Drosophila melanogaster: one gene and its partners. The protein of the gene in region 1 interacts with the protein of each later gene in a pairwise test. Each region holds a gene or a part of one and is shown in the gene's direction. Other genes may lie near its edges.

What was found.
Region 2: the proteins of CG14153 (region 1) and CG13731 interact in a two-hybrid assay, tested with the Drosophila melanogaster proteins (one large-scale study listed by BioGRID).
Region 3: the proteins of CG14153 (region 1) and CG17233 interact in a two-hybrid assay, tested with the Drosophila melanogaster proteins (one large-scale study listed by BioGRID).
Region 4: the proteins of CG14153 (region 1) and Cpr92A interact in a two-hybrid assay, tested with the Drosophila melanogaster proteins (one large-scale study listed by BioGRID).

The regions. Positions count from the first base shown.
Region 1 is NT_037436.4:10,640,776-10,647,408, forward strand, and holds CG14153 (uncharacterized protein), read left to right. Parts: upstream 1-2,752; 5' UTR 2,753-2,767; coding exon 2,768-2,815; intron 2,816-2,881; coding exon 2,882-3,547; 3' UTR 3,548-3,840; downstream 3,841-6,633. Other genes in the region: CG32066 (uncharacterized protein), read right to left, coding at 426-690, 757-1,019, 6,088-6,351; CG14154 (uncharacterized protein), read left to right, coding at 1,251-1,826, 1,929-2,102.
Region 2 is NT_037436.4:17,381,394-17,391,932, reverse strand, and holds CG13731 (uncharacterized protein), read left to right. Parts: upstream 1-2,976; 5' UTR 2,977-3,185; coding exon 3,186-3,188; intron 3,189-5,470; coding exon 5,471-5,539; intron 5,540-5,598; coding exon 5,599-7,905; 3' UTR 7,906-8,297; downstream 8,298-10,539. Other genes in the region: CG13728 (uncharacterized protein), read left to right, coding at 9,300-9,413, 9,613-10,539.
Region 3 is NT_037436.4:20,236,848-20,244,561, reverse strand, and holds the start of CG17233 (uncharacterized protein), read left to right. Parts: upstream 1-3,043; 5' UTR 3,044-3,287; exon of another isoform or gene 3,288-3,443; intron 3,444-3,455; exon of another isoform or gene 3,456-3,509; intron 3,510-4,029; 5' UTR 4,030-4,066; coding exon 4,067-4,699; intron 4,700-4,948; coding exon 4,949-5,824; intron 5,825-6,651; coding exon 6,652-7,714. Other genes in the region: CG6951 (uncharacterized protein), read right to left, coding at 1-395; Clc (clathrin light chain), read right to left, coding at 1,105-1,764.
Region 4 is NT_033777.3:19,595,840-19,602,962, reverse strand, and holds Cpr92A (cuticular protein 92A), read left to right. Parts: upstream 1-4,007; 5' UTR 4,008-4,128; coding exon 4,129-4,137; intron 4,138-4,471; coding exon 4,472-5,200; 3' UTR 5,201-5,461; downstream 5,462-7,123. Other genes in the region: CG7333 (uncharacterized protein), read right to left, coding at 367-478, 536-1,042, 1,100-1,517, 1,578-1,836, 1,896-2,082, 2,147-2,289.

The DNA.
Region 1 (6,633 bases):
GGAATTTAGGATTTATCTCATACATCTCGTATACCCAAACATCAGTTTAAACTTTGCGCTAATTTGTTTTTAGGTTAATTGGGTTCCTTGCATTACTTAAAATTAGGGCTAGATTAACAACTAAATATTGTTGCTGCTGATATATGCGTCCCACTTTTTGTCCGACTTCTTTGCTACGTTACGCGGAGGCTGGAGTCTAAAACAGTACGAAACAAATGCTGGAAATGCACACAGGGTAAAAATAAAACTAGAGGTTGCCTCCTGCTAGCACAACACTCGCTCACAATTTTTTACAAATAATACAGAAGCCTACTAATTACATAAATAAAGGTAAAAAACCATTTAAATCGATACGCATACACATAGAAATTAACGTTAATGAACTCTCCGCCCACACCGGCCGCGCCCACCGATCCCCTCCAATATTATGCGGCCAACAAACGCTGTATATTCTTCGGCGTGTTCTCCCCATTCAAATGCTTCGTCGTGTATCGCAGGGCATTCAGCAGCGGCTCCGCCTTGATGGCCGGTTGCGCCTGCAGCAGTCGGACGCACCCCTTCACATCCACATGGGCGCCACGCACGAAGGCTCCCTCCGGATGCACATGGTCGTAGAGGATCACCAGGCCGACCATTACGCGCAGCACCAGCATTTTCGTGTCCTCACGCTCGATCTGTTGCAGGAGTTTTCTAAAAGCAATATTGTCCATCGATTAGAATACTTATTATCATTGATAGTGATTCATTTAAACTCACGGATTTTCCAGCATCCTCAGGCACACCTTGGCCATGGTGCCCAGCGTTTCCGTCGTGTTCTGGACATCATCGGCATTGTCATTGACAAACTTTGAGGTCGCCTCGCTCAGCACCTTGAGCATGGGCGTGGCGTGGGCGTAGAACAGGGACATCCGGTTGGCCAGTTCCGTGCTGACCAGCATATTCTCCGTGGAATCCACACGCTGTCGGCTGACGATGCGTCTGTAGTAGCTAAAATCATTCTGTATGGCGGGGGTTTTCATCTGAAAAATAGAAATATACAATACAACTTAATAAGTTTATCACTTTGAACATGATTTTAGGTATGCAATATGCCTAGCAATGAAATATTATCTGGCATCATTTCGAAACATCCGTCAAAATGAGCAAGCAAAACAGTACGGGATTTAGGAACATATTCAAAAATATTTACAAACGAGACATGAAAGGGTAAATTGAAAATTATTTAGTTAGTTTTCTAATCAACTTTTGGGATGTTGATTCGCACCGCTCGCAGAAACAGACAGAAGACCTTCGTCGTGGAGGATTCCGAATCGCAGAAGCCCGAAAAGAATCCGAGTCCCGAGCGCAAGGAGGATCGCAAGGAGCGCAGGAGGGAGGAGGAAATGGAACGCAAGCGGGAACTGGAGCGGCGAAAGGAACTCGCGAGGGAAAAGGAACGAGAGAAAAAGCAGCATCAGCAGGAGTGGCGCAAGGAACTGGAGAAGGAACGTCAGCGTGAAAAGGAATTGCAGCGTGAACATCTGAGGAAGGAGCCATCCACTTCCTCCAAAAGGGTAAATCCAGAAATCACCAAATTCGACGAGGAATTCGAGCAGGATATTCAGAAGTTGGAGCAAAGCATTTGCCAGCTGGACTTTCGCTCCAAAACGATGGCCACCATGTGGATGGACAAGCTGCGCCAACCACCACAAAATGCAGACGAGGCCAGATCTAGGAACATAATAACATCCCATCTGCTCAAGTGCTGTGGCGATAACATATTCAATAAGGAGCCATTCAATCATCCTCCGCCACCACAAAATTTGACAACCATAAGGGAGATGATGGTGCGTTTAAAGCAAGTCGTTCTTGAAATATTAAGCTATAGTCATATTTAGACAATTTTTTCTTTTCACTGAAATCTAATTATTTTGTATTCTTTTTTCTAGTTCTTAACGCGCGATAGTACGTGCCACGGAATGCCCATTTCCAAGCAGATGGAACCCAACGCCAATCTAACCCAATTATTTAGCGATTCATACGATGGTGGCGAGTTCCTGAGAAAGCTTCCAGTGCCACGTGATGGGGCATTCTTTATCTATTACATGCAACCAAATTTGTAGAAGTGAATTGGATTTTAAAGTAACGCCAGCTAAATTTCAAACATAAGTCTTCAATTTGTATTTTTTATACAAAATGTTAGTAAGAAAACGTTGATACCCTTTACTATAATAAAGCAAGCTCGAATTGTTTCTAATTTTGAAGTTCAGTCATATTTTTAGATAAGATACATATGTAGGGAAACGGACTTGTAAGTTTTTCTTCTAGCAAGCAGCTTTATCAACAAGATCATAAGGTATGCAACTATCGGTTGCTTTCAACACTCGCTCTTGTTAACCTCTAATTACAGTTGACTTGAAAATCTAATTACTAATTACGCGGTACGTGACACCGCAATTTGCCTGCCGCCCGTGTTGCCAATGCTTCCAAATGGTTTTCCACTACGGGCCAGGCCCAAAACAACGATGCCGCACTTAAGCTGTCAGGGCTGCAAAAAAACGTGCGTGAGAAAAAATACAAACATTACAGAAATGCCGCCTGCTAAATTTTTGAGTCAGGTAAAGTGGGGTTTGCTCATCCAATCACCTTGACAGAGGCGCTGCTGCAAACGAACATCATGCACTACTATACATTACTATACTATATATACTATATGGCTTTCCAGAGAGACTGTTGTGAAACCTCATATAAATACGTTATTAGCATAAATCGTTCTGAACAGTCAGAAATGAAGCCGCAAACAGGACGGATCGTGAAGAGCAGCTCGTCGAGCTGGGTGAGTGTTTCACTAGATTTCCATTCGGACACCCGAGATGATTAATCTATTAATGATTATTCCAAGCTATGTGCACTTATGCCCCTGATGATCGATGCAGTTTGTGGGAGAGCTCAGTATGCATCACCTTATGGCAGTGCTTATGCAATTACCACATCCAACTACGCTCAATCCAACTATGCCAATCCAGATGTACAATCGATATGGTCGGGTCCGCCTATCATAGTGAATGATAATCAGTACAGTGCCCAGGAACAGCAGCAGTATCCAAAAAGTAATGGTTATTATGTTGCGGAACCTGCGTATAGACAAGCATATCCAAATTGGAGAAGGGAAGACCCAACACATGCTCCCAATCACAACTATAACAATGTGCCCGGCTACTTTTACTATCAACAACAGGAGACTACGCCATCAACACCTCTGCGCTATCCTCAATCTCAAATTCCACCTCAACTTCAGCCATATCCACAAAGGAATCCGGAATTGGAGACCAGCGATTCGGGTCGCGATGAGGAGCAAGTGGTCCAAATTGGCGGCAGTCGCTCATTGGCCACAAATAACTATCTAAATACGTACAATAATAAGGAGAATTTCTATGAACCCGCTCAGCCCTGGAGGCGTCGTGATTACCAGGCCAAATATGCCCAACATTTTGCCGAATATTTGCGTAAATATCCAAGACGCCTGCAGCCAGTTTACAACACCAACGAGGATTTTGTTGAAAAGTAGGGGAATACTCTGCATTTGACTTTGCATCAAAAAACATATTGAATAAATCCCCTCAAGAGCCATTAGCAATTTTCGTTGAAAGCGTGCCAAGAAAACTATTTCTGTCTGTACTCGGAACAGATCAATTGCATCCGATAAAGATACAGATTGCAGCTGCTGTAGAGTCAACATGCCAACACAGTAAATATTGGTTTATCCCTTTAAAAGGCAAGAATAATAATAATTGTATGTAACAAAACTATGCTTAGTTAGTTCCGTAAGAGATACACAACAATAAAAGTTATTTTCAGAAGATTTTAATTAATTTAAAAAACTTCACTAAAAGGGAAATACCCATTTTTTGAAGCATGTTCTTTGTATTCTGTGGCATGCGTTGAACTTTGAATATCAGTGGTTAACTTACATAAAGGAGCACTAAAGCCAAGTTTATTGTACTCTATACAAGTGCCTTCTCGATGCCCCAAGATTTTTCGCAATAAACGCGACATTAAAACGAAGCAAGTTACAAGCAAAGTCAATAAATTGTACAGCATACTTTGGGGCGCACTGAAAACTGGTGGCAACAAAGGCGCAGAAACAATGCTCCTCCTCTTCGAGAAACGGAAGTGGCAGTTAGTTGGGAAGCACGTTTGGGCTATATAGTATGTACATACATACATATATATATATCGGTGTATACATATATGCAACTTTTTACACGGGAAAATCTGTGAGCGCCCGGCGGCTGACACTTTGAGCACACAATGAACGTGCAGTTTGCAGCGTTTAACATCATCATCATCATCATCGCCATTATCATTACCATTATCGTCGGGAGCACAAAGTTGCAGACACACTAGACATCAGAGACTAGAAACCGACGATGGCGATGACTTCGCCATTCCCTACCTCCACCATTATTTACCCGATTGTCCTAGATCCCAGCTTTCAGCTATACATATAGTGCTCCACAATCGATTTGAATGAAAGTTTCGCCAAACGGAAGCGAACCATGGGAAATGCGCCATTCACAGGGATTTGCCATTAAACAAATCGATTTTATTTGACTCCAGACAATCAACCGGCATATCCTCCAACTGCCGCAGAAACTGATGTGGCTCTGTGTAATGTGTTTTAACCCAGTGCGGGGATACGTTTGTGTTTGCATAGTTCACAGGCCTTTGTTATGGCCAAACACTTCAGGTTAGCCAACATAATTGAGTGTTTGAATTTCATTAAAAACCTATTGATTTTGTGGGCATTTTTTAAAGAGTTTATGCTAGGAAAATAGTGTGGTTATTGTGCGTTAGTTGCAATGAGTAATATATAATCAAACAAGAACGGAAAAGGTAATTTAAAATAAAATTAGGAAAATGAAAAAATACTGAACAACGTTCCTTTTATAATAATCACAAAAAAAAAAAACGCTGTATAGTTTTTACACACGCACTTAATAAACATTTGTTAGCTCTCATAAATAACCTCTTGTTTACTTTTTGAATTGTACCCTTGTAAATCTTTCTCAATCTAATTTTTCCGTCTTGTACATACATTTTTATAATTTTCTTATATAAGTGAGATATTCTACTTTAATGACCCGCACTGTCAGGCCACCGAAGCCGACATAATACACTTTACATCTTCATCCGGCCATCGGTCGTTTGTCGTGGGCCATTTGGCTTGCGTGCGCGTAAGTGCCAGCGATGCTCCACTGTGGCCCCCCAACGAATGTGCACGAGTGGCCCGAAAGATTTTTCATCAATGGGCCGCAGCACGCGCTCGTCTTGGCCATTCAGCCAACCAGTCAGTCAGCCAATCAGTCAGTCAGCCATTCAGTCAGTTAGCCAAGCAAAAACAGGCAGTAGTCGGTGGGCAAAAAAAAAGTCAGTCAATTAAAAATGCAACCACGCGCACCATGAGTTGGCAGTGGAACTCGGTTTGGCTTCATTTGACTCGGCTTTTAGATACATATTGCTTTGCTTTGGCTCGACTGTCGACAGCGCCCACATAAGGTAAACAAACAGTGAAGAAGACTGAATTTAACCCACTAACATTTTTGCAAACAGACGGAGATTAAATTGAATTAAGCCTTCATAAGACGTTGTCAACATTTGCATCTCTTTGCTGTTTGTGGCATCTGCAAAGTTACAGGAATTACCAGTTCGTTTGCAGTGATTACTAGTCTCTCGTTTAGATTTATTAAGATTTATGTAAAAATCCATTTAAGTTTTTATGCCATTTTTAGTGCTTTGTTATTGAAAATTTAAGTATTATTGACATAAAATGTATCTGCAAAGGTTTTTGTTTCACTGTAAAATGTTTACTTATAATTAAAGAGCCCTCTCAATCACTTTGTTTTATTAATTTAATAACCCACCCATTTCCCACTAATGTTGCCCTGTCAAACACAAGCAATGTCTTGTTGTCAGTGCCTGGTTTTCCCACCTCCAGCCATTAATGGGTTAACGTCGTGGGCGTCGTTACATCCAAATATGGACTACAGAGCTTGTAACACCCAGCTGTCAAAGTGAGCAAACTTAAACTAAACTCAACTCACTCACCTTGTACTCATCGAACTTCAGCACGAACTCCAAGATCTCGGCCAGCTGCTTGACCAGCGCCTGCTGCGTCTCCAGATGCTGTGTCGGATTCAGTTTTCCGCCCACCAGCTGGCCCAGCAGCTTGGGCACAATCTTGTCCAGCTCCATGGAATGCTCGTAGCAGCGCTTCAGCTTGTTCACCAACGGCAGCACCGCCGCCCAGGCTTTGGCGGTCACCTCCGGCGATGGATCGGCGATGGCTTCTCGGATTTCCTTGCCGGCACCCTGTAAATATTCGCAGGAACGAAGGCGGAAAAGCGTAAGTCAATACATTTGGCTCTAAGAAGGATTAAATGCTAGCTTGGCATGCGAACCTTAGACTTGGAACATTTTTACACTCGAAACCTTTTGCAATTTAAAAAAAAAATGTTAATTGTATCTATAGATACAGACTACAGATACAGATAGACTTTCCTATATATAGTTATAGTTTAACCTCTGATAGATAAACTAGGTCTTACGTATGTAATACACTAATCTAAAATATCCATAATTTTTTCTTACAGT
Region 2 (10,539 bases), 6.7 Mb from region 1:
TAAAAGACTTAATCGATATTCGAATACATTTTGTCAGCCTGATTAATTGAGTCAATGAATGAAATATGTCTTTTATTCAAGGGCGAAATAACCCGAATATAGTTCAGTTTAATACGTAATTGTCGTCTATTTCGTTGTATATACATACTTAAGAGTATTATTATAGAAGGATTTAAGGACTCAATTATATTTTAATCAAGACTTTCCAACTCTCTAATTTAAAGATATTTTGGACTTGGGTTTCAGGAACTTCTAAAAATTGGTAAAAATTTTTCCTACTAAGAACTTTCCATTTCAAAGTTGCTGTGTTGTAAAATCCAGTTCGAACCTTTTATAAAACCTTTGGTAATTCCACTTCCTAGACCAGAACTCGAATCCAAATTTCAAACTGAGCACAAAAAAGCGAAACAATGTGGCAAACTAGTTAGTCGGGTTGGGCGTCTGTTTAGCTGGCGGATTTACATAAGTATAAATCTTAAGCAGAAAACAATATAGTCCGCCTTGAGTGAAGCCATGTAGAAGTTACCAGAGATTCGCGTTATGTATTGGGACAAATTTGCATAAATCATAAGCACAATTAACAATCTTTCGGTGCTCCCTTCTCTGCCAACCGCTGACGCAGGTGACGTGACATTTGACTCGGAAATTTATATGATTCTCTCCAAGACAAGATCCGCGAAATTTGAATATCCACGCACTCTGAGACGCTTCTTTATCCATTCAAAGATGCGTGAATCTTCTGGGTGGGTAGAGAGTCATCGGCCTTCTTATAAATATTCAGTGGCGACATCTTCTTCTCGGTTTTCTATTCTTCGGCGAACACTTTTTATTAGCCGATTTGCGGTTGAGTTTTTCGAGTTGCTGGCCAAGAGACTTGATTTCAATTTTAATGGCCGGTGCGTGAGGGTATTTAATTTGCTCTAGGATTAGATAAGTAATATTAATTGTCTACCTGAATGGGTACACGTCTTTAAAAACAAGCGTCGAGGCATTTAAGAATACAATTAATCTACTCAGCAGTTTCAACATGATTTATATAATATTTAATTGTGTTACAAAAAATTTGCATCTGCAGAATATGGTTCTTTGTGACGATTTTTTTTTTTGTATTTACCAGAAAAAGAGTGTAGTTAGTTTTATGATTTAAGATTTGTTTATCTCGCTTCTCGTTTTGTTTTTGATGACTAAAAATCCCATTTATACAAAATAATGTTCGGAAATAGCGCCAAGACAAGATCTCCATTCTGATAAAACATAATGAAAAACTAGATATTATGATTTCCGCGCCCGAAGACAAAGGCTCATAACAATTCACATACGAGCTCTGAAACTTCCCTAGATTAACAAATATATTTTTAAATTATCCAAATAGCAACCTGTCTAGAATGCGGTTTAGAACAGGCTCAAGCGACGGTCTTGTTTGATTCGAAAACCGCTAACGTCCTTCAGTGGAGTCCAAAATTTGAGGCAGCAAATTATCAGACACTCGGTATGGAAGTTGAATAATCGTCTGTTGCAATGTCGGATGAGGTGACAAAAAAAGGCTTTTCCTCTAGCCGGCAGTCAAGAAGCATTCGATGAGCCAAAAACTAAAAAAGAAAAAAATAATAAAAACAATTCAGTCGCTTCAGTTATCCGCAATGACAAATTTGAAATGTCAGCAGTCGCCGCCAAGTGTCATTGCCTTTGTGAAGATGTGCGAAGCAAGTTATGACCCGAATAAGTTAGCCAGCAATTATGTAATAAAAGACAAGAATTAATGTGGCTCTAAGTGGCGTCTGATGGCCGCAGGGGTGACTTCCGTTCGGCTGCACTTCCTCTGGGTGTTGTTCCGCCGTTTTATCTAGACCCTGACTACCCAGTGACCACGCACCTTTGGGCCGAAAGAGTTCAAAGTCACATCTATTTTGGGCCCGCTCATGACTGCGCGTGGCCAGTGGGTGTCACTCTGATTGGTTCATTAAAATCAAGACGTGACTGCTTGCGAATAAATAAATTCTAGTTATTAAACTGGCGAAATGCAGGCGATGACAAATGCCGAAACCCGTTTGGGAGTCGCTCGAAGAATGCAGCACTGAACACCGATCACCGATCACCGATCATCGAGATCTTCGAGTGTGCGTTTAAAGGTCACTCGGCTGACACGGAGTCAGAGATGAGCTGAGCCGAGCTGAGCCTACCTTAACATTCAACTCCGGCTGCCATCTGCTGACCCCCGGGCACACGCATTTTTGGCCAAGTCAACCGGTTCATGTTCAATTGGCCGACTCCAACTCCAACATCGACTCGCAACTCCAACTGCATTTAGGCCTGATCCGAGGGGTAAGTGCCATTAGCCAACGCCTGATCTTCTCGGCCTTATTTGCCTTGGCAAGCTTCGTTGGGAGCCTTGACTTGGCTCTCGATCGTCGAGCCAGCTTCGGCTTGTCTCATCGATTGATGAAATTCGGTGGCTCGGACCCATTTACCAAATTAAATGCTGCACGACAACGTGTTTAACACTCGCCGCAGACTTCTGCCAAAAGTACGAGCATATTTGCCAGCCATCGGAGTTGGCTAAATAGAAATGCCAACAAGAGCAGGCGTTGGTGGATGGATGGTCGGATGGCCGGATGGTGCGTCTGGCTTAGTTGCTCTTCTGCCATAATTGCTGGGCCTTAATTTGGCTGCCTTTTTGTCTTAGCCATGTTATCTGGCTGTTAACTCACAAACATCAAACAACCGAGACTGGTTGGCTTTCTGGTCAGCATTCAGCTGTCGGCGTCGCTGTCGACGAAGGCTGAGGCATCAGCAGCGGCAGAGACTTCGTATTCGGCTCATCTTCATCTGGCCAAAACGCTTTCGATTTCGGCTTTTGGCCGTGTGTTAACAGCTGTCGCCCAGGTGAAGATGCCTCTGCCGACGCCGCTGCCCAAGTGGGCAGATGCTGGGTCCGAGTATATATAGAAAATCTACAAGTTTTGATGCTTTAGTTGGTATTCCACACTCGACCTAGAAGTTAAACCAACTTAGCTTGGCATCGATCAAATTCAATCGTCCATTGAATTTGATACGATCGGTCGCGTCTTCTCCTTTCCGATCCTCACAGTACCGTCCGCAAGGATTATTCACGCACACCGCCTAGGATTACCTACGCACCCGGGATTACCGCAACTGCCGTTTGTAGCAGTCCGAAAGTGTACACCATGGTAACCGAACCCAGTTCCAATCCAATCTAAACCAAAACGAACAATGATCGTGTGCAAAGTGCAAAATAACGAAACAAGTGTCCCTCGGTGTGAAGACAAACAAGACAGACATTTCGCAAAGGAAAAGCAGTGCAGATGAAGATAAAAAGTATCAGTTTTGTTGGTCCAAAATATTTAGGGAGTTTCCACGTTTTATAGTTTGGGCTTGTGACAGTACAGAAAATAATTGAACGAATACGAATTTTCAATGATATTTGTATTCAAACTTTAATTTTAAATTAAAACATTTCTTGTGTTAAAATAATGTGTCAGCTATTTAGCGCTAGATCTTCAGAAATTTATTAATCCGAACTTGTATAAAAGGATACTAAAAAAGCATGTTCTACAATTTTATAGGGATACAATCATAAAAAAGGGTTATAAGATAAGATAGGGCCTTTAAGTTCATTCAAAATCATTCCGATTTTTCTCTGTGCATACCCAAGCATCGCAAACAAGAAGAAATAGCAAATAAATTGCCAACACCGACTGCAGTTCCAATTCAATCGCCATCTATTTGCATTTCACATTTTGTCGAGGGTCCAGCTCTGGACCCGGGCTATCATCGCGAGTTAAGAGTTGACCAGATGGCGGTTGACATTTAAGCCATGTAGAAATTGAGCAAGTGGCATCGAGTGCAATGTTACGCATACGCCGTGTTGGCCGCCCACAGAGCAAATCGCCTTGGCGCGATCCGCAATTTGCGTATTAAGTCATTAGGATGGACCAGCTGCATGTGCATTCTGCCATGTGGCGGCAGTTTCTATGTCAGCATTGACATGGCTGAAGATGAAATTAAAACTTGTTTTTTTTTCCATAATTTTCGCTTTTGCTTCTGACATTTGCTAGTCGCAATTTGCGATTGGCGTATTTAGGTAAATAGCCATAAAAACGTTGCCTTAAGTTAGATTCTTGACGTTGCCATTGAATAGACGTCCATTAATCACCATCATTGTTGCCAAAGAAGATTTCATTTGTTAAAGGGCCGACTGATCTTTTCCCCAGACTTTAATTCACCCAAATCTCTCACAGTTTCGGAAAAATAAAGTTGCCCCAAAAGTCTTGGCATTGGGGCTCTGCCCTCGAGGCGGTGTGAATCAGATTAATTAGCTGCCAATTAGCTCACTGAACAGTCGAGGGAATCGGTTTGCCCCTGCAAATATCTCTCCAAGTCCTTTCACTTTCTAACCTTTAAGCACCACCCGCCATAAGTCAAACCCGATTTGGTTCTCGATATCCTCAGCTCAATTGTGGCTGATATTTAAAACAAGTTAGAACAGCAAAAATTTTAGGTTCATTAGCATAAATTATTTAAAATCATTTACATACAAAGATCAAATATTTTTGAAATTAGCAAACAATCAGAAACCAACAAAAAAAATAAATGAAACTGGACCCAGTCGATTTTGGAGGTATGGCTTAAAATCTAACAGATTTGGTTATAAATGACAACCGGGGCTTACTATTCTTCGCATGCCAGATGCGTATGCTAATTTTGCGTTTTCTCACTAGTTTTATGGCCAGTCTTTGCTGATTATTATATAATCATGGCTAGAACTGGTCTGGAGTTTGGGGCCCGGATCCGGGCCGGTTTCTTTCATAATCGGCTATTTTTATAGCCCCCGAAAATTCTCCGTCAGCCAATTAATTGAGCTCATCGACACTGGCCATCTGCGGCCATCGACGAGCACTTTCATTAACTAACAATGACCTTGCCGAAACTCCAGCGACAAATGCAAATAAACCCGCTGACAGCATCGTCGGAAGCCATAATTCAGGGGCTACTTCCTCGGATCCCCATTGAGCTTCGGATCTGTTGTGTCGCTCCGCATTTGCATGGGCATTATGTATCAATCGCGTCAATCTGCGATATTTACATACATAGCTCCGGGGGAGGGGACTGACCTAGAGATGCTAATGCCCGTCAAAGTTGAATGTCTGCGTTAGCATTTCGGGTGATTTTCAATGCATTATGGTAAATCGATTCGCCAGCTTGGCTGTTTGTTGGCTGAACTTTACCACAGTTTTGAACTGCAGGCCAGCGGAGTTGCCTTGCCTCCTCCGACCCCGACCAAGTTGCCACGAAGCGTGAATAGGCGATTAGCCTAGAAGGCGATCAATTAGTCGCAATCAGGTTGTTAGAGCCAGTCGTTAGTCTGAGCACCTCTGTACGGCGACACCATCGAAGTCCATCAATATGTAGCATCACTAATCAGGCTGTGTTTTTCGTTCCTTCCCCACAGAGAAGTGCACTGTTCGTCTTGGCGCTTTGCGTTGTGGCTGTGGCCACCGCATCGGCCGATAACCATGAGGTAAGTGCGGAAATCTGACGATTCCCTGCCAACAGGAACTTACAAGCCACTTTTTACAGCGCAAGACTCGTGCCGCCGAGGGATACTTCTACCCCCCTCCCGATGTTCCATTCGATCTGCCCGTCCGCACCACACAGCCGCCAACAAGGCCGCCAACGCGCCCTCCTACTAGGCCACCCACCAGGCCACCCACCAGGCCTCCCACGCCACCACCAACCTACCTGCCGCCCACCAACAAGCCACTGCCACCAGTGACCACCCGTCTTCCTCCACCACCACCACCACCAAGGACTCCTCCCCCAACGAGGCCCCCAACTAGGCCACCAACCACTCGTCCTCCGGCAACCTACCTGCCACCCACCAACAAGCCACTGCCACCAGTGACCACCCGTCTGCCTCCTCCACCACCATCACCAAGGACTCCTCCACCAACGAGGCCGCCAACTAGGCCACCAACCACTCGTCCTCCAGCAACCTATCTGCCACCCACCAACAAGCCACTGCCACCAGTGACCACCCGCCTGCCTCCTCCACCACCACCACCAAGGACTCCTCCACCAACGAGGCCCCCAACTAAGCCACCAACCACTCGTCCTCCAGCAACCTACTTGCCACCCACCAACAAGCCACCGCCACCAGTGACCACTCGTCGTCCAACACCACCACCAACGAGGCCACCACCACCACCGACCCGTGCATCGACTCCAGCTCCTACCTACCTGCCTCCCACCAACAAACCACTGCCACCAGTCACCGTGCGCACCACTGTTCGCACCACTCCTCGTCCAACTCCTCCTCCTACCAAGCCACCAACTCGCCCACCAACCACTTATCTGCCACCCCCAACTGTGCGCACCACCCGCCCTCCTCCACCACCCACTCGGCCACCAACTAAGCCACCAACCACTTACTTGCCTCCCGTTACCGTGCGCACCACCCGTGCCACCCCCCCACCAACTCGCCCACCAACCCGGCCACCAACCTACCCACCGACCACTCGTCGTCTGACCACTCCGGCTCCTACTTACTTGCCACCCACCAACAAGCCTCTGCCACCGGTCACCGTTCGCACCACCGTTCGTACCACTCCTCGTCCAACTTTGCCTCCTACCAAGCCACCAACTCGCCCACCAACCACTTACCTGCCACCCCCAACTGTGCGCACCACCCGCCCTCCTCCACCACCCACTCGTCCACCAACTAAGCCACCAACCACTTACTTGCCTCCCGTTACCGTGCGCACCACCCGTGCCACCCCACCACCAACTCGTCCCCCAACTCGCCCCCCAACCCCTCCTCCAACTAGGCCACCACCACCACCAACCCGTGCATCGACTCCAGCTCCTACCTACCTGCCTCCCACCAACAAACCACTGCCACCAGTCACCGTGCGCACAACTGTTCGTACCACTCCTCGTCCAACTTTGCCTCCTACCAAGCCACCAACTCGCCCACCAACCACTTACTTGCCACCCCCAAGTGTGCGCACCACCCGCCCTCCTCCACCACCCACTCGTCCACCAACTAAGCCACCAACCACTTACTTGCCTCCCGTTACCGTGCGCACCACCCGTGCCACCCCACCACCAACTCGCCCACCAACCCGGCCACCAACCTACCCACCCACCACTCGTCGTTTAACAACCCCGGCTCCTACTTACCTGCCACCCACCAACAAGCCTCTGCCACCGGTCACCGTTCGCACCACCGTTCGTACCACTCCTCGGCCAACTCTGCCTCCTACCAAGCCACCAACTCGCCCACCAACCACTTACCTGCCACCCCCAACTGTGCGCACCACCCGCCCTCCTCCACCACCCACTCGGCCACCAACTAAGCCACCAACCACTTACTTGCCTCCCGTTACCGTGCGCACCACCCGTGCCACCCCACCACCAACTCGCCCACCAACCCGGCCACCAACCTACCCACCCACCACTCGTCGTTTGACAACCCCGGCTCCTACTTACCTGCCACCCACCAACAAGCCTCTGCCACCGGTCACCGTTCGCACCACCGTTCGTACCACTCCTCGGCCAACTCTTCCACCCACGAGGCCCCCAACTAAGCCACCAACCACCTACCTGCCTCCCCCAACTGTGCGCACCACCCGCCCTCCTCCACCACCCACTCGGCCACCAACTAAGCCACCAACCACCTACCTGCCCCCCGTCACTGTTGTGCGCACCACCCGACCTCCTCCACCACCCACTCGTAGGACCACCGTGTACGTGCCACCACCAACAGTGCGCACCACCGTGTACGTGCCACCCCCTACGCAGCGCACCACAGTCTACGTCCCACCCGCACCCACCAAGCACCAGGGCTACCAGTACCCCGTGCCCAGCATCCCCTTCAACTTCTAGATCTAGAGATCCAGATGTGATTAGGGATAGGGCCATCGTCTAGGGCTAGATTGATCTAGTCAATTCTCGTACAGTCTAACTTTACACGATCCGGCGCCAGCGGTGCTAGAGGGCGCCACTGGTGCGCCTGCAAGGACGACATTTGTTTGTTTTTATTTTATTTTTGTAATTAATGAATCGCATACTCATACAGCTAGGGATCATTGTAAATGAGTGCCCCAATTGTACAGCTAACAGTCTATCCAACTCTTGCTATGTTCTATCACTATTCTACAATCGATGGGCGGCCGTCGTCTGTGACGGACGCCAGCTCAAGACTATATAGCTCTATATTACGATTAAATAAACTTTTAATTCGGATCGCTGAAACCTGAACAATAAAATAAGTTTTTCGAATATTTACAAGCATTTTTTTCATCTGTTTTTGGGAAGCGGAAATTACATGCGGTCCTGTTATGTTATGTGCGATGTTTGAAACCCAAACAATAATAACATATTTTCTTTTTCACTCCTAACCGGGAAATGGGATCAAGCCATGTCCGGGAGATTTTGTGGTCTGGTTGGTCTCGTGGGTTCCTCCTCTTTTGGGAGTTATCTTAAAAGTCGGTTTTAACGACTATGCAAAGGAGATCGTTGCTTGCAAGTCATAAAGCGCCCAAAGTGCAGGTTAGGCAGTTAACCTTGACCTCCACTTCTGGTCTCTACTAATTTAAGTTATGGATGTGAAACACGTTAGCTTAGTTAATAGGTTTGAAAAGTTCGTATGAGTAGGTATTTAAATACATGTATGTTTACTATGAGCGATGTATATTTTCATGAAATATGAAATAATTTAACCTTAGGTTATAATTAAATGTCAAATTTGAGATATAGTTAAAATGTGATTTGAACTTATGACTTTTAAAATATTGAATCGATTTTTTTAATATAATTATTGATTATCACTAAATGTTATCATTTCCCTTTTTAAAAAGTATTTCACTTATATACAAAATTAGAGCTATGGCTAGTCAGCTCCTTCGTGAGTGCATAACCACTTCGGTTTCATCACGCCCCGAAGATATTTCTAGTTACTTCGCAGCTATCTTCAGATTTTCATGGTCAATGCGTTTTTTAATATCTCTTTCTTTTCCACTTGCCTGGGAGCACGAATTCGCCTGAGCAATTAATTTATTTATCTGTCTGTAGCTTGCTGTTTTGCTTTCGCAGCCAAACTCTATTAAACTTTCTAATTAAGCTGTTGCACTTGGGCCGATATAACCGACGCTTTTTAGGCGCCGCCAGCTCCCAGTTGCAATCAGTCATCGTTGCGATCCGCGATGAGGCAGAAGCTCAGGCCCACATTCATCAAGCGATAGGCAAGCCGAGTGGTTCGAGCAGCAGATCCCGGAAAGATGTTCATGCAGTCGGCAGTCGGTCAAGGACAACGGGACACTCGAACGCGACTGGATCCTTGCTGGACTAAAGGCAGGCGGTGGATTATGGGCCTGATCCTGGTGTACACAATAGTGAGTTGAGGATTCGAACCTCTTATACAAAAGGGTTTTTTTTTTATTACGCAGTACAGTGTAATTGGACAATTTTTGTTTGTTGTTTACATATTTTGAGTAACAATTACGCGAAAATCTAGACATGAGGAAAGGGGGCCGTAATTGTACATCTCCCAATTATCTCTTATCTTTGATTTCATTTTGTGTGTACCCGCAGATGTCTCTCATGGTAGTGAAGGTCGCCTCCGCAGCCACTCTTTATCAGCAGCACCAGCAGCAGCAATCTCTGAACGACATTGAGTCCTCAGCAGACGAGCCATCCCAGGCCACCACGGAGATCGAGCCCTCGGACAGCGACAGCGACATCGAGAAGATGCGGGCCAAGCTGCAGCAACTGCAGCACGAGCAGCAGCAACAGTACCTGCGCCAGCAGCAACAGCAACTGCAGCTGCATCTGCAACAGATGCAGGCGACGCAGGGAGCTGCTGGGGAAACCGCCTACTTATTGGAGCGTGCCGATAGCAACATTGCACCCATCTACGGGACGTGGCGCACGAAAGCGCAACGGCAGCAACACGCAACATCTTCGCACGAAACGGACGACGCCCATGTTTACGAGCGCCTGCCCAAGCGATCGGCGACCATGACGCCACTGAGGGGGTTGCTGCGAGATCAGATGCCACGCCCCCCGCGCCTCACCACCCAGGATATGCAATTGTCCCTGGGCTCACCCTCTCCGCCACCGGCGCCCACAAAGGGTTTGCTACGAAGGCAGTACTCCGAAACGCCGGGAACCCGAGCACTTCGAGGTCAGGATGAGTTCAAGCCAAAGCCGTTCCACTTCCCCTACGATGGTCCGATGCCCGAACAGTTCACTAAGGGTGAGGGTCGACCCGAGCTTAACAACATCCAGGATATCCTGCAGCATCTGCACATCGGAGGCTTAGCGCCCAGTAAGCTGCCACCAATGGTGATGATGCCCACGGGTCTACACATCGCCGGTACGTTCAAGAATTTCAAGTCCAGTGGAATAGGGAACTTCTTTCGCGGCAAGCGCAACAAGAAACAGATGCAGTTCACCATACCGATGCCCATGTTCCCCATGATGTCTATGCCAATGCCATGGTATAATCCCGGTGTGATG
Region 3 (7,714 bases), 9.6 Mb from region 1:
GCACATTCGTTGCACGGAAATAGTGTGGTATACAGTCGAGTTCCAGACAAACTCATGCCGTTGCTGTTCAGGATTGCATTGGCCTCCGCGTGGACCACGTACATCTTCTTGTCTTCCAGGGGATCAAATTCCTGCGAGCCTTTCTTAGCTTTTGACCACGGAAACACGTCATCGCTGCAGTTGCGAGGGAACCCATTGTATCCAATGGCCACTATCCGATTCTGGGAATCCACGATGCAGGCGCCCACTTGGGTGACGGGATCTTTGCTGCGTTTGGCGGAGAGCAGTGAGGTGGCCATAAAGTAGTCATCCCAATGCAGATATTCCTTTCTCTTGTGGCTTTCGGGTGACTTCGACAACTGGGATATCAAATCTTGAGCGGAAACTTCAGCCATTTCTGCAAAACAAGTAGAAAACCTTATTAAGCGATGGAAATAATTAAATTATGATTTCTGATATCCACTTTTCATTATCGTAATTGGTTTCTTTATGCGTATTTCATTCATATAATGCATACATTAAACCAGCTCTGCAATGACAAATACTTGCCTCAGTTGTCTGTATGTCTTTATTTTAATAATCATTTAATGAATGCAAATCCATACACAACCATATTCCATTTCCAACCCATTGATATTTCCAACACACATATATGATGAAAACAAGTTGTATGTGTATAACTAACTAGAGATAAGAATAATAAATGGTTTGTATAATGCGTTTTATAGAGCAATAAATATTATTTACAACAAAACTGGAAGTAATTAAAGCCCCTTGATGTGCAACCCTGCTTGATTAACAAAATGAACGAAAAAACACTTTAGTTGTCATATCCTTGGTTTTATTTTTTATTTGTTCTTTTTCCTAACTTTTTCATGTCGTTTTTCTTATTTTGTGTGATGGGGTATATGATAGTCAAGGAAAGCATGACAACTGTGTGCACATTCTTTATTGCATTCATTAGACAAAACGATGATCGCGGCTATGTTATAGCAGCAATAATAATATTTTATGTATCATAAATTGGAATATACAGCGAATACTTTCAATAATAATTTTCATATTCAACTCAATGTGGTTAGGCGAGTGCGTAATTAAAACTACCTAGGTGCTCTTCTGCACCTGGATGGGATTCTGCTTGAGGTGCAGGTAGATGGATCGCATGCGGGAGACGTCCTTTCCCGCCTTGTTCACCTTGGGATTGAAGTCGCAGAGCTTGGCTATGCGCTCCCATTCGGTGCCCGGCTCGATGGTGCCATTCTCCAGGGTGGCGGCTTGTTTCTCGGCATTCCGCGACGCCAGTTTGGTCTTCGATATGGACTCGCCAATCTGGCGCAACCAGTCGTCCAGCTCCTTCTTGGACTGCTGTCGGAGTTCCTCCTTTTTTCGCTCCTCCTCGATGTCCTTCTCCTCCAGTCGTTGCTTTTGCTCTTCGCGCCATTTGCGTATCTTTTCGGGCTCTTCCCGCGACGGCGGCGGACCGGATATGCCCACGGGTTCATTGGACTCGCCACCAATGACCTCAAAACTGCCAGTGGAGGATTCGAGGCCACCCGTGCCGCCAGCAGAGAGCAGATCGCCTTCGGAGGCGGTGCCTCCCAGAAGCTCACCCAAGCCCTCGTCTGTGGATGCAGCCGGAGGAGCTGATGCAGATCCACCCGTAATCTCCGCCTCCAAGTCCCCGAGAGCTGACTGTTCGCGCGCCAGGAACTCGGCCGCCGGATCCACGTCCTCCTTGGCAGCGAAATCGTCTCCGAAGTCCATGGCTATGTGCTCTCTGGAAATGTTGTGATTGCTATTTAGTGGGCGTCTCACCCAGATTTACACGTACGCAGAGGAGCAGCCAGCTGCTGGCGGATTCCCCCCGATTCATTGACAATTGGGCACTACGCACCTCTCCTTTGATTCGGTTAGGACTAATTGAAGATCGGTGTGGGCGGATGACTAACCGGAAACTTGGTCAAATGTATTTTTTCAGTTTTCTTTTAGCAATGAATACGTAAAATGACTGTCATTAGTACGTGAACCAACCATAAAACAGCGGGCTATCGAACTGGTTCCAGCCGAACAGTGCTGGATAATGCAACATATATCGCAACGCGATGGTTTTAAATTTAATGTTATGATTTTTATATTAAAAAATAAATATTTTTTTACACCAGTTATTATGCCAAATCTTTTAAATGTATACAAATTAGTAATATTTAAGGAACAGAAACCATTGTTAACTATTTTACTTGTCAAAGCCGAATTCAACATTCCTTAACATCACGGATAACGAGTTAAAGATTTAGCTACATTTTGTATTATTAAGCTACAAGTTTATGATAATGTATGTTGAAAAAACCAAAGTAAGAACATTTAATTTTTCCTTAACTAAACTTTTAAATTATATCAGCAGCGTCAATTTTCCACTGGGTTTCTGGTCAATTAGTGTTGCAAAATGTGTAATGGTGGTGGCTTGATTCGTTCATATATAATTTAGAACCGTACATATAGTTAATAAAACCTAGATTTAATATAATATTTAAGTTTGGAATTATTTTATTTTTTTTTTTGTTTTCAGATTTTGTAAAGTTCTCATGGTTTTTGAAATCAACTAGTTCCAATTGATCAGTGTTAGGAAACGCGCGAGTTCAGTAAACACAACCTTCAGAGGAGTTACGATTAATTTGTTTATATCTTATCAAATGTGCCTTAATAAATGCTCGTAAAATGTAAATACACAACAAAGTTAACTAGTAATGACTGTAGACCCGATAAAAAGCGTATTATACAACACTTGTTGCTATTGCATAGCACATGGGAATATAATTGCTGGTCAAATTTCACGGTGAATTGTTCACACAACATGACTTAATTATGTTTTTGACTAACCTATGCCACGAAGAACACAAGACGCAGTATACTTTTTGAGGAAATTAACAAAGACGAAATGCGAGGACGACGGCAAAACAAACAATAAACACTCGGCGCGCGAACTAGTGAACCGATGAACAAGTTCACCGTGGCATCATTCACCTGAGCCAGTGGTTCGTTTTTCACTGGCAGCAGAGCGGCCATTTTGGAGATTGTTTCATCCACAAAAAAGTTATGCACCGAATCTAAAAAAAAGAACGTTCGCTGTTAGTTAAACATAAAATCCGCTCGTGCATATTGAAGCGTTGTTGTGCTGGCCGATCCGATGTGAAGATAATGCTGGGCCCGAGCAGACCGACAGTTCCGATTCTATAACGACTAAAAGTTAGTGACTATCTTCCAACACGCACGCATGTACGCCCGTGTGTGTGAGTATGTGTGTGTGTGTGTGTGATTGTGTGCATGGATACATATATGTACAAGCGGAAAATACGGGAAAAAATCCTATTCCCAGGCAGAAAAACATTGCCAAAAACAGCATAAATCCCAGCCAATGTGATGGCCCCGTCATTGTAATGTCATAAGTGAGCACCCACATTAACCCATTGACGCTGAAACTTCAAAAATGCGGTCTCCTTGCCGCCGAGCGCCAAGGCAAAAAATACAGACGCCAATTTTTTTGAAGGGGGAACCAAGCGCATCGTGGCCAAAAGGGATACAAAAAAAATGAAGATACGAAAAAAATAGGGGGATCCCTTCAGTGCAGAAAAGTTGGGGAACAAACACCCCAAAACTGGAGTGTTTCATTCTAAAGTGTACTTCTACTATGTGTTTATTGATTTACAATAAAAGATAAACAAAATATGTTTGACCACATATAAATATCAATAATTTTATAGTAATTATTATTGATCCATAAATAACATTAATTGAATTCGCGCCTTTTTCCCCTCTATATTATGAATGCCATGGCAAGCAACTTGTGATAACAATATAAATATGTTATAATCTAAGCTACCGCTAAATTGATAAATATGGGCGGGATTTTTAGACTTAACACATGACCATTGGAAATGTATCCGAGCAATAATAAACTCCAATTAGTTAATCCTTTACATATAAGCCGCTAATTATATTCAAAAACCACTAAAGTTTTGCTATTTGTTTCAGTTACCAGCCATCAGCAGTAGAAGAGCCCAAGCCAAACATGGATCCCAATTCCAGTCCCTGGTCATACGCCTACAACCGCATCGTGCCCGCCAGTGCCGGAAGCTCCGGCGGAACAGCAGAGGACTTCCAGCATCCACACCTGGCCACCATTACGGCAGCAAGCATCGCCAGCTTTAATGCGGCGGCCGCCAGTGGTGGCAGCTTTGTGCCTCCGTCACCGATTGGCAGCTACAACCCAGTATTCCAGCAGATCTACCACCATGCGGCGGCGGCCAGTGTCCAGCCTAAGCCCGCCCACTATGCCTCGTCAGCGGTGAGCACGCCGCACCGCCAGCTGCAGCTGCCCAGTTCGCTGGACAAGCAGCTCAGTTCGTTCCAGAACCAGGCGGCCGTGTCGGCGGCAGCGGCTGCTGTAGTCAACAATGTTGCCTCGAACTATTACGGGGAGAACTCCTCGTCGAGTGGAGCCTCACCATCGCCCACAACGGTGGCCCTGACGTCGACGTCGCTGACCTGGAACACGCCGAACATGATATCGAACACCTTCCTGGCCATGCAACAGCAGCAGGCACAGCAGCAACAGCAGCAGGCACAACAGCAGCAACAACAGGCCCAACAGCAACAGCAGCAGGCGCAACAGCAACAGCTAAACCTGGTGGCCGACAAAGTGGTGAGTAGAATTCGTTTGTTTTACGTTCGGCTTTCAGATCACTCTTCTATTATGGTTTACGCCAGCTTCTGGGGAAGCACACACACTTATTAAAACCCCGCAGGCTCTATCGCATTTATCGCATACTAACATAACATCCCTTCCAATAAACCCATCAAAGCATAGACTAAGTCTAGCCTCTCTATGTCGAATCAATCCCAAACCAAACACTTTCCGATTCCGATTCAATCTATGTACGGTGCGCTGTAGCAGATTAAGCAGGAAAAGCAATTAAAAGCCTACAACGACTCGATTTACCTGATCCAACTGCAACAGCAGCAGCAGCAACAACAGACAGCGGCGCAGCAGCAACAGCAGCAGCTCCACCAGCAACTGCAACAGGAGATCGCCGAGGCAGACACAGAACCGGACACCTATTACACCATTGATGGCCGGAAGGTCAAGGTGACGCGGAAGGATGGCCAGCCGTATCGGGCAACGATAGTAGACCAACAGGATGCCAGTCCGGTGCCGCTGGCAGTGCCAGTTCCGGCGGGATCCTATCCGGTGCAATATGCCAGTCCGGCGCTAAGCTCCGCAGATGGATCGCCCATCACGAATTTACATGCGGTGGACGTGGTCAGCACACCGCAGGCCCAGGTGATCGTCTACAAGACGGCATCCCCTGTGCAAAGGCGGCAAGAAGCGGGCGCTGGATCGTCTGCTGCTGCCACACCCACCACGGTGGCCTACTCATCTGTGATACAAAGCACCCTGCAGCAACAGCAGCAGCAGCAGAACCTCTGCTGGACGAAGCTGGAGGACAATGGAGCGGGGCAGGAGGACATTAAGAACGTGCTGCAGCTGCAGGTGAAACAGGAACATCGGCAGCTCGATTTTGCCAGTGAGGCATCCTCAGTGGACGCCGGTGGTGGTGGCGAAAATCTAGTTTTCAACCTACCGCCCGGGCTGGAGATCAAGCAAACCTTCTATCCCGCGAGCGTGGTCGATGGGGAGCAACTGCAGCTGCAGGAGCACAATCAAAACCAATCCCAGTCCTCCGGTCGGCGCCAGCACGTGGTGGCCAACATGATCATGTCGCCGTCGGCGGGCAACTTAGCGTCACAGATTCAAGTAGTGCCAAAGGTTTGTATTTAATTTTTTTTATTTCCGTTTCTATTTGTTTATTAATTTGTTTGTGTTCTGCCTTTATTTCGTTTTATTTGCTTTTCACACTATTTCTTCCAAGATTTTGCCAACTTAAATGGACTAGTTTGGAAGATCTCTTATTTAGTTCCACTGTGCGCTTTTTCTTTCTGATTGGCTAAAAATAAATTTGAATTAACAAAACGTACCTTAACAGACTATTGGTAGCTTACATAAAAAATCTCATTTGGACGCAAAATTTCCAATATTTATTTTAATTAAGAATTTGAAACCTACATTTATAGAAGTACTAATTAGATTTTCTTGCTTTCAAATACTAGAAGTATCCAGTTTCCCGAATATAAGGTTATTTCGTTAAAGCCCTGTTCTGTAGCTTTATATTTTAAAAAAAATTTGCATGCCCTTTCGATTATTTCTTGTATTATGGTGGAAGCTATTTCTTTGGCCTTCTGTTATTAATCGCTTAATTTGAAATTCTTCGGTTCAATCTAACAAAAACTGCTAACTGATATTCTCTAGTTTAAAGTCATGTGGCCACTTTGAAACTGTGACGTTATGTTGTAATGGTATGATCCAATCCTAATGGGGGTAAACCCAAGCACCAAACGCGTATGCCGCTCGCAGCCCAGTTGTTAATACCCCATAAAATGTTCTGGGAGCAGACTGTTCTTTTTACCAGCCAGTGTACTCGTTTACCAACCGTTTCTAATGTCCCAATGTCCAAGCTATTGATAGTGTGCTGTTTGCATATAACCTTTGGTGATCCCGAGTGTTCTAATCCGCATTCTTTTCACACTTGCTTGCAGGAGGAGGTGAAGCCGCCGCCGAAACCAGCGAAGACTCCGCGCAAGCGCCAACCGAAGAAAACGCTTATCCCCAGTAGCAGCGACTACGGCAATGTGCGCAGTCCCCAGGAGCCGCAGCATCATCAGTTGCAGCAGCAACAGCAACAACAACAGCAGCACAATCAGCAACAGCAGCAACAGAACACGTACTACGACTTCAACAGCAAGTGGAATGCTCCGCTCAAGACGGAAAACAATGCGGCGTCCGTTTCGCCGGCGGCCACAATAAACATACCCACATATCCTCAGCAGAGCCAACAGCAGCAGCACCAGCAGCAGCAAGCGCAGCAGCAGCAGCAGCAGCACTTGCCACAGCCGGCACACCTGCAGTCCTCGCAGGCCCAGTCACACTTGACCCAGTTGGCGCAATACTATCCAGCCTTCCCTCAGCCCATTGCCTCTCAGTACACTGCCTGTATGCAGCAACAGCAACAACAGCAGCAGCAACAACAACAACAGCAGCAACAGCAGGCAGCCTATACGCAGCAGCAACACCAGCAGGCCTACACACAGCAACAGCAGCAGCAGGCGCAGCAGCAGCGTCAGGAGAAGAGTGAAGCCACTCAACAGCAAGAGGAGGAGGCGAACGCGGCTGCAGCGGCGGCAGCAGCAGCAGCGGCCAGCAACAAGGTCATCGTGCCTAACATCGAAGAGGAACTGGATTTTTTGGCGGATGCCACAGCAACACCGAAGCAGGGCTATGCCAACTCACTGTCCAGCAACGGGCGCGGGACCAACTCCTCCACAAATAACACGAACTTTGGCATACGTAATCCGAACAAGACTCCTTCCCCGGAGCCAACGAACTGTCCACCCAACTCGCATGCCTCCAACAATGGGCATGGTCATTCGGCGGTGACGCCCGTGGCGCCTTCAAGCACCGGAGCCAGTGCATCCACGGCGTACAGTCCTGTTGCTCCCAAGCCTGTGAGCGTGGGCACGCTAATTGGGGAGAAGAAGACTCAGTTTATGGACAGCTATCTGAAGTTTCTGCAGGGCGAGCGGGACGATGATCCGCCGCCGG
Region 4 (7,123 bases), on another chromosome or scaffold:
TCGTGACGTCAAAAAGTCAGAGCTGTTTAAATTATAAGCAGATATGCAATTTGTATATCAAATCTATACGAAATCTAAACAAATCCCCTATTTTGGGCAACTAAATACTTAAAAAGAAATGACAAACTCTAGTTTGTTGTGTGTTTTTTAACTCAGGAATTCGCTGTCAGTCATTCTTTTTATTTGGGTTTTATGACGTATAATCATCGTGCATATAATTCATTTGCTTTGATGAATTACGACAAACTTATGACCTTTAAATATACTAATTTAATCAGTCTTCGTGGAGGATACTTTAAGTCGGATGACAATGACAAACTAAGTCTCAGTGTTCTCAGCCAGAGGTTCACTTTAATTTGTCTTCAATTATACACTTTCAGTCCTAACATTTTTTTCTTTTCTTGAAAAACAAGGAAAGTAGAGGAAGCTCTCGTTCAAGGCAAACTTTTCTCCATCCGCCAAGGTTTCGGGCAACTTCCTAATAGGAATCGACACAATAAATAATTTGTTCAGAATAACAGTTATATATACTAACTTGTTTAAGGTCTCCGGTAAAGTGAGACAAAGTCCAGCTCCAAAGAACATCAGGCAGCTAATGAAGATCGAGGGGAGAGGCTTGTAGTATTGTGCCAGGTAGATCACATAGAAGGCCAGTGAGCTGGATGCCAATCCAATGACATGGATGTTGGATACCGCCTGTCCTCTCACACTGGTCGGAATGATTTCCGCCGCATACTGTATTTCCGCATCGTAGGAAACGGTGGCTCCAAATCGTCCCAGACCTACCATGATAGCCAACAGCAGGGCGTTCTCCGTGGGATCCAAGTGGGCTATCATGAAACCCGTCGCCGTGGTAATAAGTCCACCCACAAAGAGGGCGGTGCAGGCCATGCCCTTGCGTCCGATCTTGTTCTGCAACAAGAGGATAGCAACTCCCGCTGGGAGGTATACAATCGATGTGAAGGAGAAGAGCTTAAAGGGCGAAGTGCCTAAGCCCTCCATATTCCGGTTAATCACATCGCATGAGAGGGTTATAATGACTCTACAACCGAAAGAAGGCATTAAATAATGCACTAAGATCCAAAAGTAAAGAACTTACGACTTCACGAGCAATGTCAAAGTGAATCGACGCAACCGAGGGGTCAAAAACATGGCTAAGAAAGTGTCCTCGTGACTATTAAGCTTGTAATCCTGAAGTTCCCTTTCCCGATAGTATTTGACAAACTCATCGAAAACGGACTCCTCCACATGTCGCCTATTGAACTTGGCCACTTTCTTTAGACAAATCACCGCATCGTCGTACTTCCTTTTGGTCAAAAGCCACTGAGCACTTTCGCAGATCAGGAATGGATATATAAGGACACCCAGTGCTGGAAGAGATGCCAGCCAAAGGTAGCGTCGCCAATTACCAATCCAAATGGCGGCCCAGGGCGAGGTCATCAGTCCAAAACAGTAGAATACAGCCAAGATGATGTTGAGGCCAAAGGTACGGCTCTTGGGGCTTAAGTACTCAAAGACTGACGATATGGGGAACGTAGATTAATTTAACCTTATATTTTGATTTAAAGTTATATTACCCAATATGTACATTAGGTAGTACATGGTATCAGTGGATAGCCCTGACATAAATCTGGAAAAGGCGAACCAGGGCAGCGTGTGCACAAAGGAGGTGATAAAATCCCCAGTTGCACCACACAAGGTGGCCATCAGCAGGGAAGGCAGACGACCTACTTGATCCGACAGATAGCCAAAGATTATGGTGCCCACGACTGAGCCCATGAAGAAGAAGGATTGGCCCACTGCTGGATGATGCGATTTGTCACAAACCCATTTGAGCTGAAGTGGGTTTTCTATATTGTAAATCTTTTCAACAACGTTTTTCAATGGCTTCATACCTCGGTGGTAATGCTTTCGTAGCCGCTCTCCCTGTTAAAAATCCAATTCCTGCACTTTCGGTTCGTAGATACAACACCTGTGCCGTTGACTACGCCCAAAAGGGGCGTGCAGGATGAGGCGGATATGTTTTCATATACCGAGCGAATCCCTTCAACACTGAGACCATTAAGGTCAGCATGGAAGCACCTGCATAAGAAAGATTGGATATTACATGGTCGGGACCAATCACCCATTTTGTGTCCACACTCACCAATGCTCTGGTGTGAAGGTGATAAGGGTCTGCGAAAAGTAGTGCAGTGATCCAAGAATATTTGTGTAGCCGTACAGCAAAAGGATCATCACCTGGAACCTGCCATAGTTTCCACACTTATCCAGAACCTGACTGAAATCCATCAGACGTTGCTTCGATGACATAAAAAATTTCCAAAGCGACTGACTACTTCCAACTCCCTTTGAGAACTGACCAGAAGCTAAATTAAACTGCGCTGGGAATAGCCATAAATTTATCTTTAGCGGCTTTAGGCAATATGTTTCATAAAGCTAAAACAGCTGGATGGGTTTTAAAATTACAGATATACCGTCAAATGTTTTGCCAGCTGTGAGCCCTGTAATTGGGAAAATATCTACAGGAGATGTCACATCTATCGCGTAAGTTTTTGTCGAAACAAAATTTTTGCAATTAAAATACCTACATACATACCAATATTGTGCTTAACTAATCCATTATTGACTAGATTTTCCATTCAGCCATATTGGCAACTTTGTAGCATTAGCCTGCCATTCTTGTTGATCAATTGCTTTGATCTTCTGGCTAAAAATAGTTAAAACAGCTGACATCGACTGGCCCGGCGGTTGGCACGACTTTGATTCTTTGTTATAGTTAGTTGTCGCATAAACAGGCCCGATGGTAACAGCAAGGGTAAGACAATGCATGCAGATGTCAATAGTTTTCCAGATGCCAGATACAAATTTGCAGCCATAAATTAAGCTCACAAAACGGTAAACATGAGAATTGTCGCAGACACTTGGTCGTTAGAGGCTGGAAAGGGTATTTTTGGCTAATCAGGCACTCTTAGGAACTAGCTGCAAACTTTTTTGGTCCTTCCAGAAATTATCTCAAGTTTATCATTGATTATAAACTATGTAACTGATCAGTATTCCTATTACAATGTGTCCTATCATAGTCAGCTTTTAGCATCTCCGCTACGTAGCAACCATTTAAGGGGAAGATCAAACAGAAAACCAGTCTTCAGCTGAAGGATCAGTCATGAGTAACCTTATATAGTCGTCATGCCACTTTTTGAAGGGTATTATTAATGACATTATTTGCCTAGACTGCAAGTGGTTGTTTGGCCTGGTCTGTGGGCCAGACTAATGTGCCGACAGCAGCGCGTTGACCTTTTGCTTTATTAGGCTGTTGTGGCGAGCCAGTCGCCCCTGTTTCCGCCCCCCTTCTTCGGTGAGCCTCTGGCTTTTGGGCCCACTCCAGGCACTCTTAATTCAATTGTGGACCACCTGACCTTTTGCGCATGCGCTGCAACTGCCATTTCATATGGAACCTCAACATCGCCCGGTGCAGCTTGTTCTTCTTAGCTAATTACGCGGCAGCCAAATGCAGCATATCCTAACATCCAGCCAATGTTAATGTAACATTTCAATTGTGTGCGGCAAAATAAATTTTCACATAATTGCCAAAAGTCGGTGTCCAAGCGGGTATTGAAAAGCGAATCGAAAACGAATCGTAAACGTCGCAAAAGTGAAAGGGCAAAGCTCGGGTTGGATTGGCTCCGGGGTCTGGGGACCCTTTAAATGGTTTAGCGGAAGAATAACCTTTCTAAGTCGACACGATAACTGCGCCAAAGTTGAAGCCAGGCACACGATTTGCCGCCAGGTGGGCAAGAGTCAATCCCCGCCCCCGTGGCTCCGCAGTACTGGTCCGCGCCATGTGCTTGATCGCTGGCCCAAGACACCGAAGACTCCGTCTGGCCGGGTCTCTCTTGATCTGAAATTAGTTTATTGCCTCGACTGCGCCATGTGAAGCAGGCGACATTTGCCGCCGTTTGCCAGTATAAATGGCCAGAACTTCCAGCGAACGCTTGCAGTTTTGGTTACTTCTTCTAGCGCGATCGTCGTCGAAACCAACAATACTCCGGCCACTCTCTACGTGTGGTGTCTGCTGAGTCTGTGACAACTGTGAGCGAGTGGAAAGGATACCCCTGCAAGGACATCGTTATGCTGAAGGTGTGAAAACAAAGGATACCAAAGTGCTCTTATAGTCTGGACAATCAAGTTTAAGCCGATTTAACATATTCTCAAGGGGAATGCCAAGATGAATTAACCAAGTGTTCCTATTACTAAAAGCTTATATTTTATTCATACAAAGAAAATTAGTGCATAAAGAAGATAGTTTAAGTCCTAATGAAACCCGTCGAATGATCCGAGTTAATATGTGATTTGATTTAAATTAAATTTAATTGCCAAGAATTATTCTAAACAATTCTTCCCTGTCCTCATATTACTTAAAGCTTATTTCAATTTAATCGCTTTCAACATTTTCTTTTAATTTTTTTTTCAGATTTCCCTGCTGAGCGCCATGCTCGGCATCGCCTATGCGGGCGTGATTGGACCCGGACCATACTATGGCGGTCCAGCTGGTCCCGGACCTCTGCACCACTATGGAGGATATGCACCGCAGCATGGGCCCCTGCCAGGTCCCTATGTGGCGCCCAAGCCGGCTGCTCCCGAACCCTACGATCCCGACCCGAAGTACTCCTTTGGCTACGACATCCAGGATGGTTATACTGGTGACCTGAAGTCACAGCACGAGACGCGCCACGGAGATGTGGTGAAGGGCAGCTACTCGGTTGTGGATCCGGATGGAACCAAACGCACCGTTGACTACACAGCGGATCCCCATCACGGATTCAATGCGGTGGTCCGCAAGGAGCCGCTGGCCTACAAGGCACCAGCCCACCTGGCACCCGTCGTCGCACCTGCACCCGCTCCAGTACCAGCTCATTACGGCCCAGCTCCGGCGCCTCCACTTCCGCCGGTGCCCAAGGCTCCTCTGCTTTCGTATCCTCTTGCCTTAGGACCTTACCACCGTGGTGCTCCCGCTCCTGCACCAGGTCCCGCTCCCGCTCCTGCTCCAGCTCCGGTGTCTGTGCCAGTGGCTACTCCAGTCCTGCCCTCCGCCCACTTCCATGCCGCCTATCCCGCCCTGGCGCACAGCCCCTATGCCCACTATCCGGCTCCAGGTCCGGCCCCCGCTCCAGTGGAACCCCATGCCTACTACCATCACTGAGGGACCAAGGTTCTCAACTATCTGATCTGATTTGATTCGACTTCATCTATCGCACGCAGCTTACACTGACCCAAAACTGAAACTCCGGCTATATCTGTGCCAAACGCTGTACTCTCAATCTCTTACTCTGTGTTCTTCGAGGGATTTGATACCGATCCAACATGTAGATTGATTCTAAGTTACCCCTAGCCTATGTACACGTCTTTAAGAAAATGTTGTTGAATGGTTAGTCTAGGAAATAAAACGAGAATTGAAAAACCTAACAAATTTGTTTGCGGTCTTCCCTAGAAACTATTAGATTGAAGTTCCGAAGCCAAGAAGAAAATAGTCCCACAAAAAGTTTTTAAATAATTTAAAAAACAACGTTTTAACGCAATTGATGAGTGTTTTATTTATTGTATCAACTTTTCGCAATGGTTCATATATGTATATGTTATATGATATCGTATGTGGCATATCTCATATGTATAATTTCTGATTATGTATAAATATGTATATGTGTGTTGTATATAAACGTTTCGAGTATGTCACCGTATGTTATAAATAAGTTTATTACAATGCATAATGTGTTATTATTTATGTATTATGTTTTATGTTTAATAGGTTCTATGAGCTACCATTCGTAGAACATACTGAAATGTTTTCGATATCGATATAAATTTATGTACTCCTCAGCCGACTTCAAAAGTTCATCAGTGTGCAGAGTGCGTTTTGGTCTCGCTGCACTCGATTAGGTATACAATTTAAATACGATTATAGTCCTTAGTTTTGTAATAAACGGTATCAAAAGATAGGTACAATTGAGTCATGCCTGCTACCACTAAATTAATTTCGAAGCTTCTATTCCAACAAAAACGATTAGTTGCCAAGCTCGGGGCTTTGTGTCTATCATTATCCGTCTGATTGATTTGATGTGTACGATTATTTAAACTAAGGGTCTTTAGGCTGATATACCATACAAAAGTGCTGTGCTCTAGAGGCCTTTACAGTTGGACACAATTTAGCTAAGTAATCTGCTTAGAATAAGAGACTAATATACGGTGTACATACCGCTAATATAAATAAGCGGCTAATATAGCTCACAGTATTCCTTGACAATTGTATAATATTTAATTCATAATTTCTTCGTTGATTGTTTGGCTTCGTCTCGGACTTCTCCGTCCGATTTCCTCGTCGGTTCTCGCGTTAGGTAAAAATCTATTGTAGACAACCACTGGATGATGAAGACTATTTCGGGATATGCTTGAATTGCGTTGCTTGATATCAGTTGTCAGTATATAAAATTGTGGACAAACAAATGGCAGCTTTGGCTATTCTCAACTCAGATCTCAGTTACTAGACTTGATGCTTTTAAATTCGTCCTCGACTACGTACTCCTAGAGATGGCTTTACCCATATAAAGTTTATATATTTGCCGTTGAATGGGATATGTTTCACTAATGATTAAATAGTTGACTTAAGCATTTTTGTTTCGATTTTGGTTCATTTGTTTATAACTTGAAACGGAGGGTTTTCATTTATTAAACTTGATTGGTTATTGGTAGGACATCTTTTCCACACTACGTTTCGGTTTCGGTTTGGGTTGGTACGGTTTGGGTTAGAAAAATACTCATAGTTGGGACATTTTACTACACAGAAGTGGTTGAATAATTTGCTAACTGCATTTTGTTGATAGCTATATCTCTTTATAAATAATTCTTTCTATATATAGTATAGTCGTGTTGCATTTTTTACTAAGTGCCCGAAAATTCTAGTGAAAAGTGAACCTAGCTTAGATAATTTAAGCTGATAGATGAGAAACATAAATGATAACAGTTTCTAAAAATGTTTCCATATTGTCCTTATTTTCGTTCCTAATTTTTGTATAATTTCGTTAACTAAAGGTGGAATTTCAGAGGAAATAAACTAAAGAGTTTCATGTCA